Bombyx mori: one gene and its partners. The main gene of each other region encodes a partner of the protein of the gene in region 2 in a complex. Links are inferred from orthologs where the notes say so. Each region holds a gene or a part of one and is shown on either strand. Other genes may lie near its edges. The genes, in order: adrenodoxin-like protein 1, mitochondrial; NADH dehydrogenase; LYR motif-containing protein 4.

The links.
Region 1: NADH dehydrogenase (region 2) and adrenodoxin-like protein 1, mitochondrial share a complex: the UniProt entries of both Homo sapiens proteins name them as parts of the mitochondrial core iron-sulfur cluster (ISC) complex. The link is inferred for Bombyx mori from reciprocal best matches to the Homo sapiens genes NDUFAB1 and FDX2.
Region 3: the proteins of NADH dehydrogenase (region 2) and LYR motif-containing protein 4 are in contact, whole or in part, in a crystal structure (PDB 6ODD), measured with the Homo sapiens proteins. The link is inferred for Bombyx mori from reciprocal best matches to the Homo sapiens genes NDUFAB1 and LYRM4. Residues at the interface, in NP_004994.1 of Homo sapiens: Lys92, Asp111, Ser112, Leu113, Asp114, Val116, Glu117, Met120, Glu123, Asp124, Glu129, Ile130, Asp132; in NP_065141.3 of Homo sapiens: Arg6, Leu10, Ser11, Tyr13, Arg14, Leu17, Arg18, Lys21, Arg37, Phe40, Arg41, Lys44.

What each region holds. Positions count from the first base shown.
Region 1 is NC_085130.1:1,947,909-1,953,281, reverse strand, and holds the start of adrenodoxin-like protein 1, mitochondrial, read left to right. Parts: upstream 1-1,855; 5' UTR 1,856-2,056; coding exon 2,057-2,156; intron 2,157-2,226; coding exon 2,227-2,278; intron 2,279-3,455; coding exon 3,456-3,562; intron 3,563-4,134; coding exon 4,135-4,275; intron 4,276-5,012; coding exon 5,013-5,116; 3' UTR 5,117-5,373. UniProt on the Homo sapiens protein: Electron donor, of the core iron-sulfur cluster (ISC) assembly complex, that acts to reduce the persulfide into sulfide during [2Fe-2S] clusters assembly on the scaffolding protein ISCU.
Region 2 is NC_085114.1:14,895,018-14,899,488, reverse strand, and holds NADH dehydrogenase, read left to right. Parts: upstream 1-2,030; 5' UTR 2,031-2,082; coding exon 2,083-2,250; intron 2,251-2,434; coding exon 2,435-2,548; intron 2,549-2,583; coding exon of another isoform or gene 2,584-2,697; intron 2,698-2,800; coding exon 2,801-2,980; 3' UTR 2,981-3,262; downstream 3,263-4,471. Other genes in the region: protein HID1, read right to left, coding at 355-500, 755-968, 1,044-1,109. UniProt on the Homo sapiens protein: Carrier of the growing fatty acid chain in fatty acid biosynthesis.
Region 3 is NC_085108.1:8,216,605-8,222,240, reverse strand, and holds LYR motif-containing protein 4, read left to right. Parts: upstream 1-2,349; 5' UTR 2,350-2,584; coding exon 2,585-2,673; intron 2,674-3,711; coding exon 3,712-3,832; intron 3,833-4,758; coding exon 4,759-4,815; 3' UTR 4,816-4,896; downstream 4,897-5,636. Other genes in the region: uncharacterized protein LOC101737726, read right to left, coding at 592-773, 1,291-1,376.

The DNA of each region.
Region 1 (5,373 bases), on a different chromosome or scaffold from region 2:
TGTTATAAACTAAGGATTATAATATGCTATCTGTGCCAGTCTTTAATATATTGTAAGAACAATAAAATTGAGTATCCATTGTAATAGCTTGCCTAGGCCCTTGACGTTTTTAATGAACAATTCATGAGCAACAGTGACAGCTCCCCACAGAATTAAATGTGAATTAATGTTGCAGAAGACCGCCCCAGAACTAAGGGAAAGCAAGATAAATAGGTTAAATACTTGAAAGTATCTCGTCCATCATTGTATTTTAATTTTAAAACACATTTAGTCCTAGGACTATGTAATATAAGTTACACAACTGGACGTTTCATTTACGAACACAATAAAAACTTGAAATCTGAACTATTGTGGGAAGAAATGCAAATCGAGCACTTTGTTGTTTTCCACAAGAGATTTATGAATAACATTACTATATTTTCCAAAACAATCAATTTCCTATTACTGTTTAAAGTACATAGTCAAATATATTAACGATTTTAGTTTACATTTTTTTACGACATAAAATAAGTGACCAGTAAATAATAATAAAACATACTATCCTCAATTTATAAATATTGATTTCAGAGGGTTAAAACAACGTTTTCTAAGAATGTAGAACCTATCGCTCAAATTTAAAGGCGCGAATGCCGAATGCATTAAACACGTCACTCACCAAAAAATAAGAATATATCAGCAATGTTTTTCATTAAAAATCACGTGTTGTTGTAAGATTATCAGTAATAATCACGCATGTTTGCGTAAAATGATCATATTTAACATTTTTTTTAATTGAACTACCTAAGCCTTTATCATAAAAATCAATATTTTATTATCAATTCATTAATATTTTATACAAAATGGCCTTATAGTATAGAAGTCATCATATGATTGACGCTTGAATAATATGACAATTATGACATTTAATTTTTATTATTGCAAGCTTTACAAAAAATTGCTAATTAAACCAAAGGGTTTTGTATAGAGGCGACTGCTGAAATGTTACAGCTTAAACTATTAATTCACATAGAAGTTATATGTTTAAAATTAATACGTCACTAGCATTTTGGACAGAGAGAGTGAGCTTGTGTTGTTTTATCTATCACACTGAAATCTCAATCTTAGGTTAAACTAAGAAATCAATTTTATTATTATTGAGAGGAACGAAGCTTATCGTCTTAAAATATTTTGGACAGTGAAGTTTTTATTCAATCACGTTTTGACCTTTGCGAGTTTGTTGACGTATCACGTACCGGCCGATGTTATGTCAAACAACGCAATTAATATATAGTATTTAACATGAAGTGAGAATATATATGTACCTATGTATATTAATTTAAATTAAAAAAATTGGATTGTAATTTTACTGCTTTTTTTTAAGGGATTTTATGACCTGGTAACTAAGACTTTTCAGTCATGTCTTATTTTAATTAATATTCTTCTTTTTATGAAAAATGATAATATGGGGTGAAATGAAATGAATTCAAGATGATTAATTTAAGACATTAATCAACTGGGATGAAATTAAATGAAATGAGATGATATGGGATGAATAATCTCAGTAAAATGGTGGTCATTTACTGAGATTTTTTCAGTGGACTTTTTGGAGGATCCCGAGAAGTTACGTCCAGCGGCTTTGTTTCATTTTCCCACATTTGTGCACTTTCACAGATATTAAACAGTTAATAAACCACCGTTATTACACATTTAAACCTGAAGAAACACTAAATAGACAAAATAAAACAAACACACAACTTCACTACTCACGTTCCCGCCAAAAAGTCCTTTAATTTTTGCGGGCTTTCTTTCATCACAGACTATACCTATAAATCAATGGTAGTAGAGAGCTGCCAAAGGCTAAGTATACCTACCTATGACCTACACTACAATCAGCCACAGACTGATATAATAATATCAGCTGACGACAGTCAATAAGTCTCTATTGTCCACATATGTCAACTTCATAGGTAGGTACCTACCTACACCTACTGACTGAAAAATATTCAATGTACATAACCAAAAACCGAATTATTTTATTTTGATTCGAAGTTTTCTCAACAAAGGCACGTTGTGTATCATGCTCCAATTATCAATTAAACGACTTATCTCGTGTAATAGACTGAGTGATTTGCGACGATCGTTTATTGTACAAAACAAGAGAATTCACACTACGAATCGTGAGTATTTACATAGCGTTATATGTTTAGTGCTGACAACAAGAAATATTAATTAAAATGTTATCGGCAGATTTAAAACACGGAGAATACGAATGGCAAGATCCGAAGTCTGAAGATGAAGTGTGAGTATCGCCACAAGCGAAATCTGAAAGGAATTTTGTTACATATATTATCTAGAAAATCTAAAGAGTAGTTACAATTGAAAACCTTAAACGGGGCCTTGATCGAATCAAAACAAAACAATACCATTCTTATTTTTCATATTTTTTATACTAGTTTTTTTGAAATTTCAGTTTCTTCAACAGGTTATGATTATATTTACTATCTTCAGTAAATTAAAAAATTATGTACTTTATATACTAAACACAAAAAAATAAACAAGCTAATAGAATATGATATAATTTTTGTTATGTTTTCAGTATTCATAGATATAAATTTAAAAAATGTTTATATCTAGTAAATATTATTATATTGCATTATTAATATACTAAAGTCATACATTATTAATATACTAAAGTCACACATACATTTTAATATGATTTAAAAGGAAACATATTTTATTTATGCATGAGATGAGATTAAAACTTGTTTTTATAAATGTAGCCATAATAAGTTTATTAATCAAGCTACTAATTAAAGCACAGATAATAAAGGTTATCTCTTGTATAATATATGTGTAAATAGGCAAAAAAAGAAGTACCCTTTTTCTCTTCTGTTAGTTAAGAAAAAGATTTTCTTTGTTTAATGAACAATGGTGTAGATTGCATGGCTATGTTAATCTTCAAATTGATACAAGTACTTAGAGAAATTGGCAATACATGGTGCTAAACATCACTAAAGACTTTGTGTAAATCACATAGTAAATCTAAGTTTCTTTTTTTTTGTTGCTTATATGAGAGGACAAGCTCACAGCCCACCTGGTGTTAAGTGGTTACTGGAGCCCATAGACATCTACAACGTAAATGCGCCACCCACCTTGAGATATAACTTCTAAGTTCTCAAGTATAGTTACAAAGGCTGCCCCACCCTTCAAACCGAAACGCATTACTGCTTCACGGCACAAATAGGCAGGGTGGTGGTACCTACCCGCACGGACTCACAAGAGGTTCTACCACCAGTAATTTAGGAGCCAGGACCTTAGGAACCTTAGAACTCAAGGTGTGTGGCGCATTTACGTTGTAGATGTCCATGGGCTCCAGTAACCACTTAACACCGTCTGAGCTCGTCCACACATCTAAGCAATAAAAAAAAAATGCTTCATTTGTTCCTAGTTATTATTATTAATAATTTATATTTCAGTGTGAACGTTGTATATGTTGATAAAGATGGAGTTAAAATAAATGTTAAAGGGAAAGTTGGTGATAACATTTTATATTTAGCACATAGATATGAGATTCCTATGGAAGGTTTGTAGTGTTTTACTTCAATTATTATTGTTCTTTCTATGACACGGTATCATTCAACACCATAATCTGAATCCAGCCAGTCAAGTTACAATAATGAAATTAAAGTTTAAAAAAAGATTACTTTGTACCTTACATGTTAATTGTTTTGTCCAGTCCAGTAATCTCTTAACACATAACATTAGGTATGCATGTGGGCTTTGGATAATTACTCACAATAGTATAGTAGTATACGTCCGTCTGGTGTAGTGGTAAGTGACATGGTCAAACGGCCGTCTGGTGTAGTGGTAAGTGACATGGTCACTACACAAGGGGGTCGCGGGTTCGAATCCCGCCAAGGGAAGATATTTGTATGATAAATATAAATGTCTTTTCCAGGGTTATGGATGTATATTTAATATATTATGTATGTGTATAATAAAAATCTTACATTTATTTCCCTTATCTGGTACCTGTAACACAAGTTCTTTACGAACTTATCACGGGACCAGTTAACGTGGCGTGATTGTTAGTAAATATTTATTTGTTAGTAAAATAGTATGTATCCATAAGTTAACCATACTTATTAATTACAGGTGCATGTGAAGCTTCATTGGCGTGCACAACTTGCCACGTATACATTCCTCACGATTACTTAGATAAGCTCCCGCCATCGGAAGAGAAAGAAGATGATCTGTTAGATATGGCTCCGTTTCTCAAAGAAAATTCTAGATTAGGTACACATTCTAATAGCATAAGTAAGCAAAAAGAGCGCGCCGTGTACGGGAATTATAGTCTAGCTTTTCTGATGAGAATGTATGATTACTTCGCGGCAGAAAAGCCAAGATGGTAGTACCTACTCATGTGGACTTACATACAGAATGGCCCTAATAAAGGGTGTGATGGTGGAAGTATTCGCATTGTAATGTTCTGGATCTGGTAACCACTTAACACTAAGTGGGCCGTAATTCGTTCACCTGTCTATGCAATAGAGAGTGGTAGCATGTTAATTCTGACCCTTTTCAGCGTTTAGTGTAAAGTGTTTAACGTTTTACTAGATAAATCGCAATATTTTTTATTGCTTAGATGGTTGGACGAGCTCACAGCCCACCTGGTGTTAAGTGGTTACTGGAGCCCATAGACATCTACAATGTAAATGCGCCACCCACCTTGAGATATAAGTTCTAAGGTCTCACTATAGTTACAACGGCTACCCCACCCTTTATACCGAAACGCATTACTGCTTCAAATACCAACTCGTCATTTTGAAGGATAAGGATAAGGATGACCCTCCGCACTCCCTCAAGATAGTGAGACAGCACAGCTTTTAATTTCATTACAATGAGTGCAATTTAAAAAAAACAGTTGTAAAGTTTGCATTTGCCTCCTTTTTTCCCATTTTTTTTCTAGTATTATTTAGATACTGGGCCCAAATCTGAGGCTGCCAATCCAAGTAATTTTTTTTTATTTGCAGGTTGTCAAATTGTTTTAACAAAAGAATTGGAAGGTATGGTAATACAATTACCGAAAGCAACTAGGAACTTTTACGTGGACGGACATAAACCTAAGCCACATTAATTTTAAATACTGGTGGTATTAGAAATGAAGAAAGCATAATTTATTTATGAAGTTACTGATAAAGAAACGTGTGAGCAAAACGAAGCACAGTGAATACAGTCCAGTTATCGTTCCGAGGGGCTGAAAAGTGAATGTTGTATTTAAAGTTGAAGACAATATACTTTTGCTAACATGAAATGAATGATACGTCAAGTTTTTTAGGAATCCGTAATGTATATTACACAAGATGGCTCAGCTCTTTCTAATAATGCGTAGAT
Region 2 (4,471 bases):
TTTCTCATATCCCCTCATGGATAAATGTACTCTATTTGATATGCTGAATAAACTCACTAGACTTTATGTAATAAGTAGGCTAGTAGATTGACTAAACATCACACAACCAAATTAAAGTACCAAGTACCAGGATCATGTACAGATTACTTTACATGACCAAAATTTTCCTAAGTGTAGTATTCCTACTAATCCACTATTTTTATCTTTCTACTGTTTTAATGGGCTATGTAGTTTATTATTAACTAAAACCCAAATATAGATAAATGGGAATGTGAGATTGAAATATCTACTAACACCAGAAAATACTTACAAGGGTCTTATAAAATTAGCAAAATAAAGCAAACATTCCCTTACACAAACGGCATTTATCAGTGATTGTGCTAATGGTACAGAGTCATTCTCAGCTGCAGCCGGGAGCGATGACCAAAAGAAGCTGTGCCACTCGGGTTCCTCGAACATATATGGTAATACTCTGGTAAGAAGACGTGCACAGTTCAATGCTGAAAGAAAGAAAGTGCACAGTTCAATGCTGAAAGAAAGAAAAAGTGATTTTTTCTTTACAAACTATTGTATTACTAATCTGTATGGTATGGTCTTGGTCAAAATTTTTATAGTATTTTTTAATTGTTATTTTGAGAAAGAACTTGAGACAGAAATATTGTTTTCAGCTGCATTTTGATGATGTAGACCTGAGAGTGGACGAAACAATTGTGATACTTTTTTGGGCAAAAAAGGTGTTCAGTAAATTTCTCACCGATCAGCTGTTCTCTCTGCGTCCTACAGCTGCTGTCCACGACCTTGACGAGTTTTTCCACAGCCTTGTAAACCAGCGTTGCTAAATTATTAGGAGATTCCTCGCGCAAGGCACGTATCTCCGCACCGGGAACCAATGCGAATACATCTTGTACGTTGGTTACGCTCTCTGACCAGAACTGATCCCAGAAGCTATCGTCCAACGCATCTATAGGCTGCAAAATACATAAATCGATGAAACTAGACTGATTTTTATTTCATTATTTTTCTTCGAATTGGTGCTCAATTACCTGCGACTTTGAAGTTAACTGGACAACCGCCTTTCGAAAGTTTAATTTTGTGTCAGCATTACCCATCTTGTCTTTTATTATTTAATTTGAAAACAATAACTTCATATCAACATACGTTCACACAAAACAATAAATTAAAAAACGTCACTTTTGGCACAGAGTATTTACTTAGATCTATGACTTATATATTCAATGACTTATCTATGAATTAAGTTAGAATCTACTACTATATAGGTCTATGGAATCTACACGTTCATTTTGTCAATACATTAACTAGCCATCAACAGTAATCAAAAATGACATCATTACATTATTTTATGAAATTGTCGATAAAATTTAAGAAAATGTAAAATTTAGTAGCAGTCTTCATAATAAGTTCGAAATTTCTTTTAGGTTTTTGAGCATCAAACACCAAGTAATGTGGATCCATTTATGTCTTTCATTGTTTGAAATGAGTTGAATGAATTGATTAATATATGTACCTAGCTGGTTCTAACGCCTTTACATATACCTATATAGTAGGGACATCCTATATAGTAGGGATAGTAGGACAAATCCATTTTTCGGTCGGAATCGATTGATCATGACACCTACTGCTTAATGGCAGAAAGAGGTAGGGTGGTGGTATCAACCCGTGAGGACTCACAAGGCGTCCTACCACCAGTAATTACGCAAATTATAAATGCGGGTTTGATTCTTATTACACGATGTTATTCCTTCACCGTAGAAGTCAATCGTAAATAATTAACTGTTTAGTAAATATTTCGTTGGAAAAACTGGTACCTACCTGCGGCATTTGAATGCATCGCGGGCATCTTATACCTTAGGCCAAGACGACTTCAATAAATTAAATTAACTCTGTTTTGAAAAAAATAAATACCTGTCTGAGCTAAATGTTTTGGCTCTTTATGTACCTATACGTGACAGCTGACACAGTTTATCGATTGCAGTTGTATTAAAGGTTTTGGCAACCCAGGCTTTCGGATTCGATGAGAGAGAATTGCTGAAAGAAAATAAAGCATTTCGTGAGCTTGAAGAAATGGCTGCTGCGAATATTTTCCGAAGTGCTTTCGGTGGTCTATTACGGAGATCAACAACGTATAGAACGTCCGTAACATGTCGTCTTTCGACCGTTGCGTTGCAGCAAAAGTTCAGCACAATTAAAGCCGCTGTCAAAATATACAAAAGTCAGGCCCTTCAGAATGGGGTAAGACTCTTATCTACTGATATAATAAAATGCATTTTGGGCCGTATAGTGATCATTATATTACAATGAAATATTTCCTTAACATTATATTATTATAAATTTCTCGAGTCTGTTTTAAACAAAATCAATATAACCTCAATTATTATTGCATAACAAAATTACAGTGATAACTCGAACTGTTTAGGTACCACAATCACATCGGTACTCGACAGGCGTGCAGTCTAAGCTTTCGGTTCAGGAAATCGAGGAGCGAGTCCTGAAAGTGTGCAAGGCTTACGACAAACTCAGTGCTAGTCAGGTACATAATATTCATTTAGAAATATTTTGTTTCAGAACGAGAAACATGGTATCCGCAAGTACAGCGGTGGCCCTCCCCTCACCTTAGACCTTATAAAAAGTAGAGTACTGCTTGTACTTCAACTTTATGACAAAATTAACCCTGAACAGGTTAGATTGTGGAAATTTTATTACAGTCAGTGCAAAACTGGTGGGGCATAAAGTTTTATTCTAAGATAAAGAAATATAAAATAATTTTTCTCTTATTTTTCAGTTGACTGTAGATAGCCACTTCATGAATGATCTGGGTCTTGACTCACTGGACCATGTTGAGGTCATAATGGCAATGGAAGATGAATTTGGATTTGAGATACCGGATGGTGATGCAGAGAGACTGGTCAGACCAAAAGACATTGTCCAATACATTGCTGACAAGGAAGATATTTATGAATAATAAAAAAAATATAAACTTCATAATTTTGGACCAGTTGTATTTTTGAAACGATAACAAACCAAACACAAAATTGCATTTTCTTAATTTACAACTGGCCTAAAAGTATTGTTTAGTGATTAGACAACTTTTGTTTTAATTTTACACAAACGTTATCAGTGCACTTCAGACCATTGTGTAAAAAGTGTAAGTTTTGTTTTTAATTATATGCCTGTTAGAATAGATCATTTGTATTTCATTTGATCTGGTGGTACATTATCTGATAATAAAATAGTAAATAGATCACATTTTATTTCATTCATAATTCATGCTAAATAAGCATTTGACTCGAGAGTCCCTTTTTTTTAAAAGAGAAAATGCCTTAAATCTGTACTATTATTTGTCATTAATTTTTATTGATTTTCAAAACTGCTGGAGTATTTTGTATTTCAAGGTGGGCTATGTCCTATATGATGGTAAGTGGCTACCATTACTAATGGATCTTGACAATGACACACATAAAGCTACTAAATAAGAACTTATTTCAAACCTTGTTTGAAGAAAGATGTTGGGTGATTATGATGGGACATGACATGAAGGACAGCAGTGCATACTTGATAACATTGCCTTCCTCTTGCCAGAATATTGGCAATTGCTAACATGCCTGGAGCAGTGATCCTGTTTTTCCAGAAAAGCCAGGTGAACTCAGGAAGTCACTCAAACAATAAACTTAAGCATGCTAGTACTCTTGAAAGACAAAATTTTCATTAAAATACCAAATCTTAATTAGTTTTATACTATCTTATAAATGACAATTTCATATAGATTCTGTGCCCTGCAGAGTAGATGAGCAGTGGTGTTCAACTTAACTGATCATAGATTGTAGCATAACACAGAAATACTGAAATATGGCATCATTCGTTGTGATTGGTGTTTAGCTTCACTTGGAGGAAAACTATTTTCCCAAAAATGAAGTCATGATTTTGAAATCACTTTTTTTTAAAGCGATGTTTTTTGAATGAAGTTAAAAGTCATTGTCTGATAATATTTCATTAAATAGGTCAGGGTTTAGGGTATACCTTTTCTAGTCTTATGGGTTTTTTTGTACCTTTAACAGGAATATAAAATAATATCATACAATAGAATAGAATCATCCAATAAAAATAAATATTTTATCTCTAGTACTAAATCGCTGTTCCTATTTTTATCCATATATTATATATAATAATTATTATTTAATTTTATCTTATACCTATAAGCGAGCAATTCTTGTATATTAATATATATAACAACTTCTTCAACGGCTCAATCTTCATAAAATTTAATATACAGGGGATTTCGGGGGCGATAAATCAATCTAGGTACGATTTATTTTCAGAAAATGTGGTTATATTCGTGTTTTCAATAATCAACTCTTCCCGACATCTATTGGCGAATAATAATACTATTGAAGGCAACTAACCGCTTTAAAGACATGACAAGTGGCGTTATCAAAAAAAAAACCTCATCAGTAAT
Region 3 (5,636 bases), on a different chromosome or scaffold from region 2:
TAACCTTAACTAGGTGAGCTCACGGGGCTCAAACCTGACGATGTTGCTAACATGAATCCTAGCAAGAGCCGTGCTTCGCAGAATCTACCACCGGATCGGAAACGCGACCCACTGAGTAGATCCGGCGAGAAACTCAGTGGGCTGTGTCTGTGGGAACCCAGCTACCATCAGCGCCATGAAGCCGAGCCTTTCGTCACAAGCGACGGGTTCGACGAGAACGACGACCGGTGCTTGGGGTACCTAAAATCACCGGACCGTGGACCGGTAGGATCCGAAAGACGTGTTTTGGGCGACGTCGACTGTTTGTTTACCATTTGGTCCGCATGATCGGCTATATAGTTTCCGACAGCCACGATGAGATGATTCTCATGTCGCGCCACTTTATCAGAGTGGTGAACCCTTGCTTGTTTGTGTAAATCATCATCACTCAACTCGTACCGACTGCAGAGCACTGGCCTCTCTGCGGACATCAACATATTCCAGTTGTGGCAATAATTACCGTGACCCTACGATTTTCATCGACCCGTAAACCTGGTCGACGCCAGATGTTTATCTGTTAATTCTCACCAAACCATTAATTTGAATACGTACCTTTAGATATTTGATTATTCGCTTTGTTATAAACCGGTATGTACATAAGCACACAGAACAATATCACCGCTGAACTAAACAGGAAAAATTTGGCCAGGATGCTGAAGGTGGACCTCTTTTTGACTTCTTCCTTGACGCTCTTGACATTCGAGTACTGCGTGTAGTTTTTGTATTTTTCATGTCTGTGGTAGAATTAAAGCACTGTAACTGGGCTATGTGACCGGTTTGCATGGCTGAGCATCTGAATAAGATAAGATGAATTCATAGTTCATCTTATGTTAAGTGGTAACTACAGATCATAAACATATACACAACATATATCGCAAAAATACAAGAACTTGTAGTATATATGTAGAATCATATTATACTCTAACGGTAGGCAGTGACTTGGATGCCATTCATTAGCTACGGTAAGCACTCACTATTACGTGGATGGTAAGAGAATCGGTCTACAAGGGCAGTAAATAACTTTTTAATTTTAATTTTAAAATAAGCACAAGTAAAAAGTAGTTAATAACTGAAGTTTTTAAGAATACATTATTAACTTTGATAATTCCATCTCATGTCTTTCTCAGTTGTTTAGGGTTTACAGACTCCTTAAAATGTCAACGAATGTTAATTTTAATAAATAATAGTTTAATGCAACTTCTATATAAAAGAACCAGTAAGATTTAATACATTTCAATTAATTTTAATTACCTGTAAGACAATACAGGACTCTCATCGCTGTGCACGTGATATCTTTCCTCATCATGCCAATTCTTGTGCGATGGTGAATATTCCATGAACTGAAATCAATAATTTAGTAGCCAGGATGGCAGATGGCTCATGGTTGCCTGTTTTAATCAGCAACCACAGGGGCCACACAAGAAATCAGAATATAAAGAGCACAAGATTCCTTGAGATATGAGGATTGAATTACAAATACATTAATATTAAACTACTTCTTATATAATTACTTTACTTTTTTACTATGGATAATATTTAATTTAATTTCCATTGCAACTTAATTAATGATATTCAATTTTCATCATTAATTTGTTTTTTATTATTATAGTATCTGTTTAGAATTTTAGATTTTAACCTGATAATTATTTCAATGACCAAGCGAAATAGTCTCTTTATTTCTTTTTAGTTTTGAAAATTGTTTTTAAAAATTAAAGTTAATATTAGGCATTTCATGGTATGTAATATTTGTGTTACATGGTATGTAAATTGTATTCCTTTGCTAACTTTCATAACTTGACATAACACATATTAAGTGATTTACATACAAAACATGTTTAGTAATCATCTTCCGCTAAGTTACACAACAAAATGTGCAGGCAAGTGAATTTTTAAAAATGGTCTAGAAATCCTAACTTCTTTGACAAAAATATGACAATTTTCTTCGCTAGTCTTGTAAACAAAGTACTTTTGTTGTTTGTTTCCTTTGGATAATTTGGTTAAAATAATTTAAATTTCATCAAACTTTTAACTCACTGTTTAATTTAGTAAGTACCTATATATGTCTTAGAATGACGGCTGACGAGCATAACAATATTTGAATTTGTAATTATCAGATCGCAAATGTTATTAAAACATCGGGAATGTCAAATCAGATGTTACTGACGTTAGACCAAATTGACAATGTACACTTTTCGGTATCCTGTAGTGTAGCTAGACAAAGGCTACTTAAATTTACATCCTTACTAGTGTAAATTGTGACTAATAATCAAAGTCGAATTGAAACTTCTACCCAGACGCGAAACTTACGAATTTACCTTCTTTTACATTTATTATCACAATTCAAAAGTTTTGCACGATAAATTTATTTTATAACAAATAAAGGTTTAACACCGTGTAATACGGAACGTCTAATTTTTGTTTACATAAAAAAACTGGAGTGTAATGTCATAACTGGTCATAACAATTCGTAAGACAAATATCATTGGGTATTACCTTTTATCAATATATTATAGTTTTTAATAAGCTTGTCGAATAATAAAGCGAAATGTCTGGCGCGATACCTAAAATACAAATATTATCTCTCTATAAATTGCTTCTCAGAGAATCCCAGAAGTTCCCTAACTATAATTTCAGGTAATGTTTTGCACCATTATATAACCTAAAACAAATGAAAGATTTACTCCAACGTTACTAGTGAACACAAAAGCATAATTTTGTTACCTTCTTAAATTACAAACAAAGTCAATACATTTTTAATTTTGTCATGATATGTGGCTACCAAATTCTATTAGGCTTAAGTAAATGTATTTACTGGTGGTAGGACGTCTTCAGAGTCCGCACGGGTAGGTACCACCACTCCGCCTATTTCTGCCATGAATCAGTAATGCGTTTCGGTTTGAAGGGGCTGGGGCAGCCATTGTAACTATACTGAGACCTTAGACTTTATATCTCAAGGTGGGTGGCGGCCTTTACATTGTTGATGTCTATGTGCTCCGGTAACCACTTAACACCAGGTGGGCTGTGAGCTCGTCCACCCTTGCTATAAAAAAAAAGCGAAAAAAATGAATTTCAACGCAATCAAAAATTATCAAGCTTGTTTGGAATCAATTATTTGGATAATAATTGAAATGAGTCAGGTAAATGGAATGATGAATGTGATATTAATGCACTTCATTAATATTAATTACTCATTATGATAAGTAATCAACGAGTTTAAATTAGCACTGTGAGGGGCATATAGCTCATAGAAAAAATGGTCACTATTGCAACTCTACACCAAAATCTGTAGTACAAGTAATCCTTCCAGAAGGTAGACCCACAGTATGTTGAAGTTGTGAGAATCTGTCAGATTTGAACAGCTTAGGATCAGTCACTGTGGTGAAGCTTGAGGATGGCCTATGTCCAGTAAAATTATGTAGACTGATGATGATGCTATAAATGATTATCATTTTCATGCATTTAAATTGTTATTTTAGTTTTTTAGGCGGACAAGACACATTTTAAGCAAACTTAATTAGATAATTAAATAAAAAAATCAGCCTCAATTAATAACTACAGCATCAGAGTTACAGTAATTAAAATGAACGAGATTTTCAAAGCCTCAATAAATTATGAATTAATTAATCAACAATTTATCAAAAAATGCTAAATTTTAACCATTCATCCTTTCAGAGCATACGCACTAAGAAGAATTCGAGATGCTTTTAAAGATAATAAAAATGTGTCTGATGTTAAGATTGTGAAGAAAGAGTTTGAATTTGGAAAAGAAAATTTAAATGTTATCAGGAGACAGGTGTGTGAATATGTTTCATTTATGTTATCAAACACATGTGATAATTAGCTTATATTTTATTTAGAAAAGTATTATATTTATATCTTGGTTTCCTTTATATCACATCAGTTAAGTGGTAACGGTAGTCTATAAACATTACAATGGGAAATCTGCCACCTTTTGCTTTTTACAATTTGTCCTTAGTCTTATTGCAGTGCATTTTGCAGTGTTGGTCTTCAGGAGCAGGAAAGGAGAACCAATTTTCTAAAATTTCTATTAATGAAAATAAAGTATACTTCATCCCTACTGTGATGGGTTTGAAATGTTGATTTGATCAAAATATTAAACAACTGATCTTTTTCTCATTCAAATAAGAAAATGTGGTTGCCGAGCTGAGCTGAGAGAGCTGGGAGAGATTATGGTACCAATCTATTCAGGCTCACTCTGGTAGTTTTCCAATTACAGCACAAGAGCTCATTATGCGGCATAATGCTCAACGTTGAATGTTCCAACTGCAGCAACTCGAAGCACAATTGAGCACTCTCAAAAGTACTGCTCTCGCGTGATACTCGCAATCGATACCGACTCAGTGACAGAAAATTGACAAGTGTTTTTTCTTTAAGTTGGCATTGATCGAAATTTTGTTTATATTATCGTTAGTAATATTATTTAATGTTGAAAAAAATTGTAAGGCTTTCGTTTCGTCGTAGTTTCTTAGAAATAATCAATGTTAATTAAGACTGTGCTAACTTAGCGCACTCTGCTGATGCATTTCAAAACTAATTCACGTTCCAATTAAGCTTCAGCATAATTTGGCATTGTGCGTCACTGAGTCGCATTATGCTCTGTAATTGGAAAACTACCACTACACCCCACCTCTGATCTAACTGCACTAAAAGGTTAAACTATTGTGATTAATTCATATATGAAATCATCTTGTTTTACAGGCAGCCATTGGAAATATGTATAAAACAGAAAAACTTGTTATCGAAAATCTGCGGTAGCTTCATGTTTATAATTGTATATTATTATGAAACATCTGTAATGTATAATGTACATTTGACTAATAAATAGTATAATGCAGAGTTTTTTATTCAAATTAAATCTGTAGGGGTCTCAGAACTTTCATTTAAATAATTATAATTGGTTTTGTTACTAAAAGTACAATTAAATGTATATGTGGTATGCATATACACAGGTATGCATCATAAAATAATTTAACCTAATCGAATGGGAGAAGGTGTGATAATTAAAGATGATAATCTAACTTTTTTGGAAATACTGGAAATAGGCTGTGTGCTGATGTTGACTTGCAGTTATTATAAATTAGACTCTTTCCGAGGTCCGTATATAAGGTACTAAAGAGTTTAGCAGAGAATGGCCAGTAATGGCATTTACTGATGATAAGGAGTAACGTCAGTTCCACATTGCCTATTTCTGAATTGAAGCAACCATGTGTTGCGGTTTGAAGGGTGGGACAGTCATTAAGTAGTACAACAACAATTGAGAAACTATTGAAGAATCAACTTTACTATTTACAGAATTTTAATTAGTCGCGTGTGTTAGTTTTTTATTTACATACTCTACGAATACATAAGATGTCGTCGTCGTGGCCTAATGGATAAGACGTCTGGGTGCATTCGTGTTGAGCGATAGTACCGGTGTTCGAATCCCGCAGGCGGGTACCAATTTTTCTAATGAAATACGTACTTGACAAATGTTCACGATCGACTTGCACGGTGAAGGAATACCATTGTGTAGTAAAAATCAAACCCGCAAAATTATGATTTGCGTATATCTCATGGTAAACTTGTGATTCCGCACG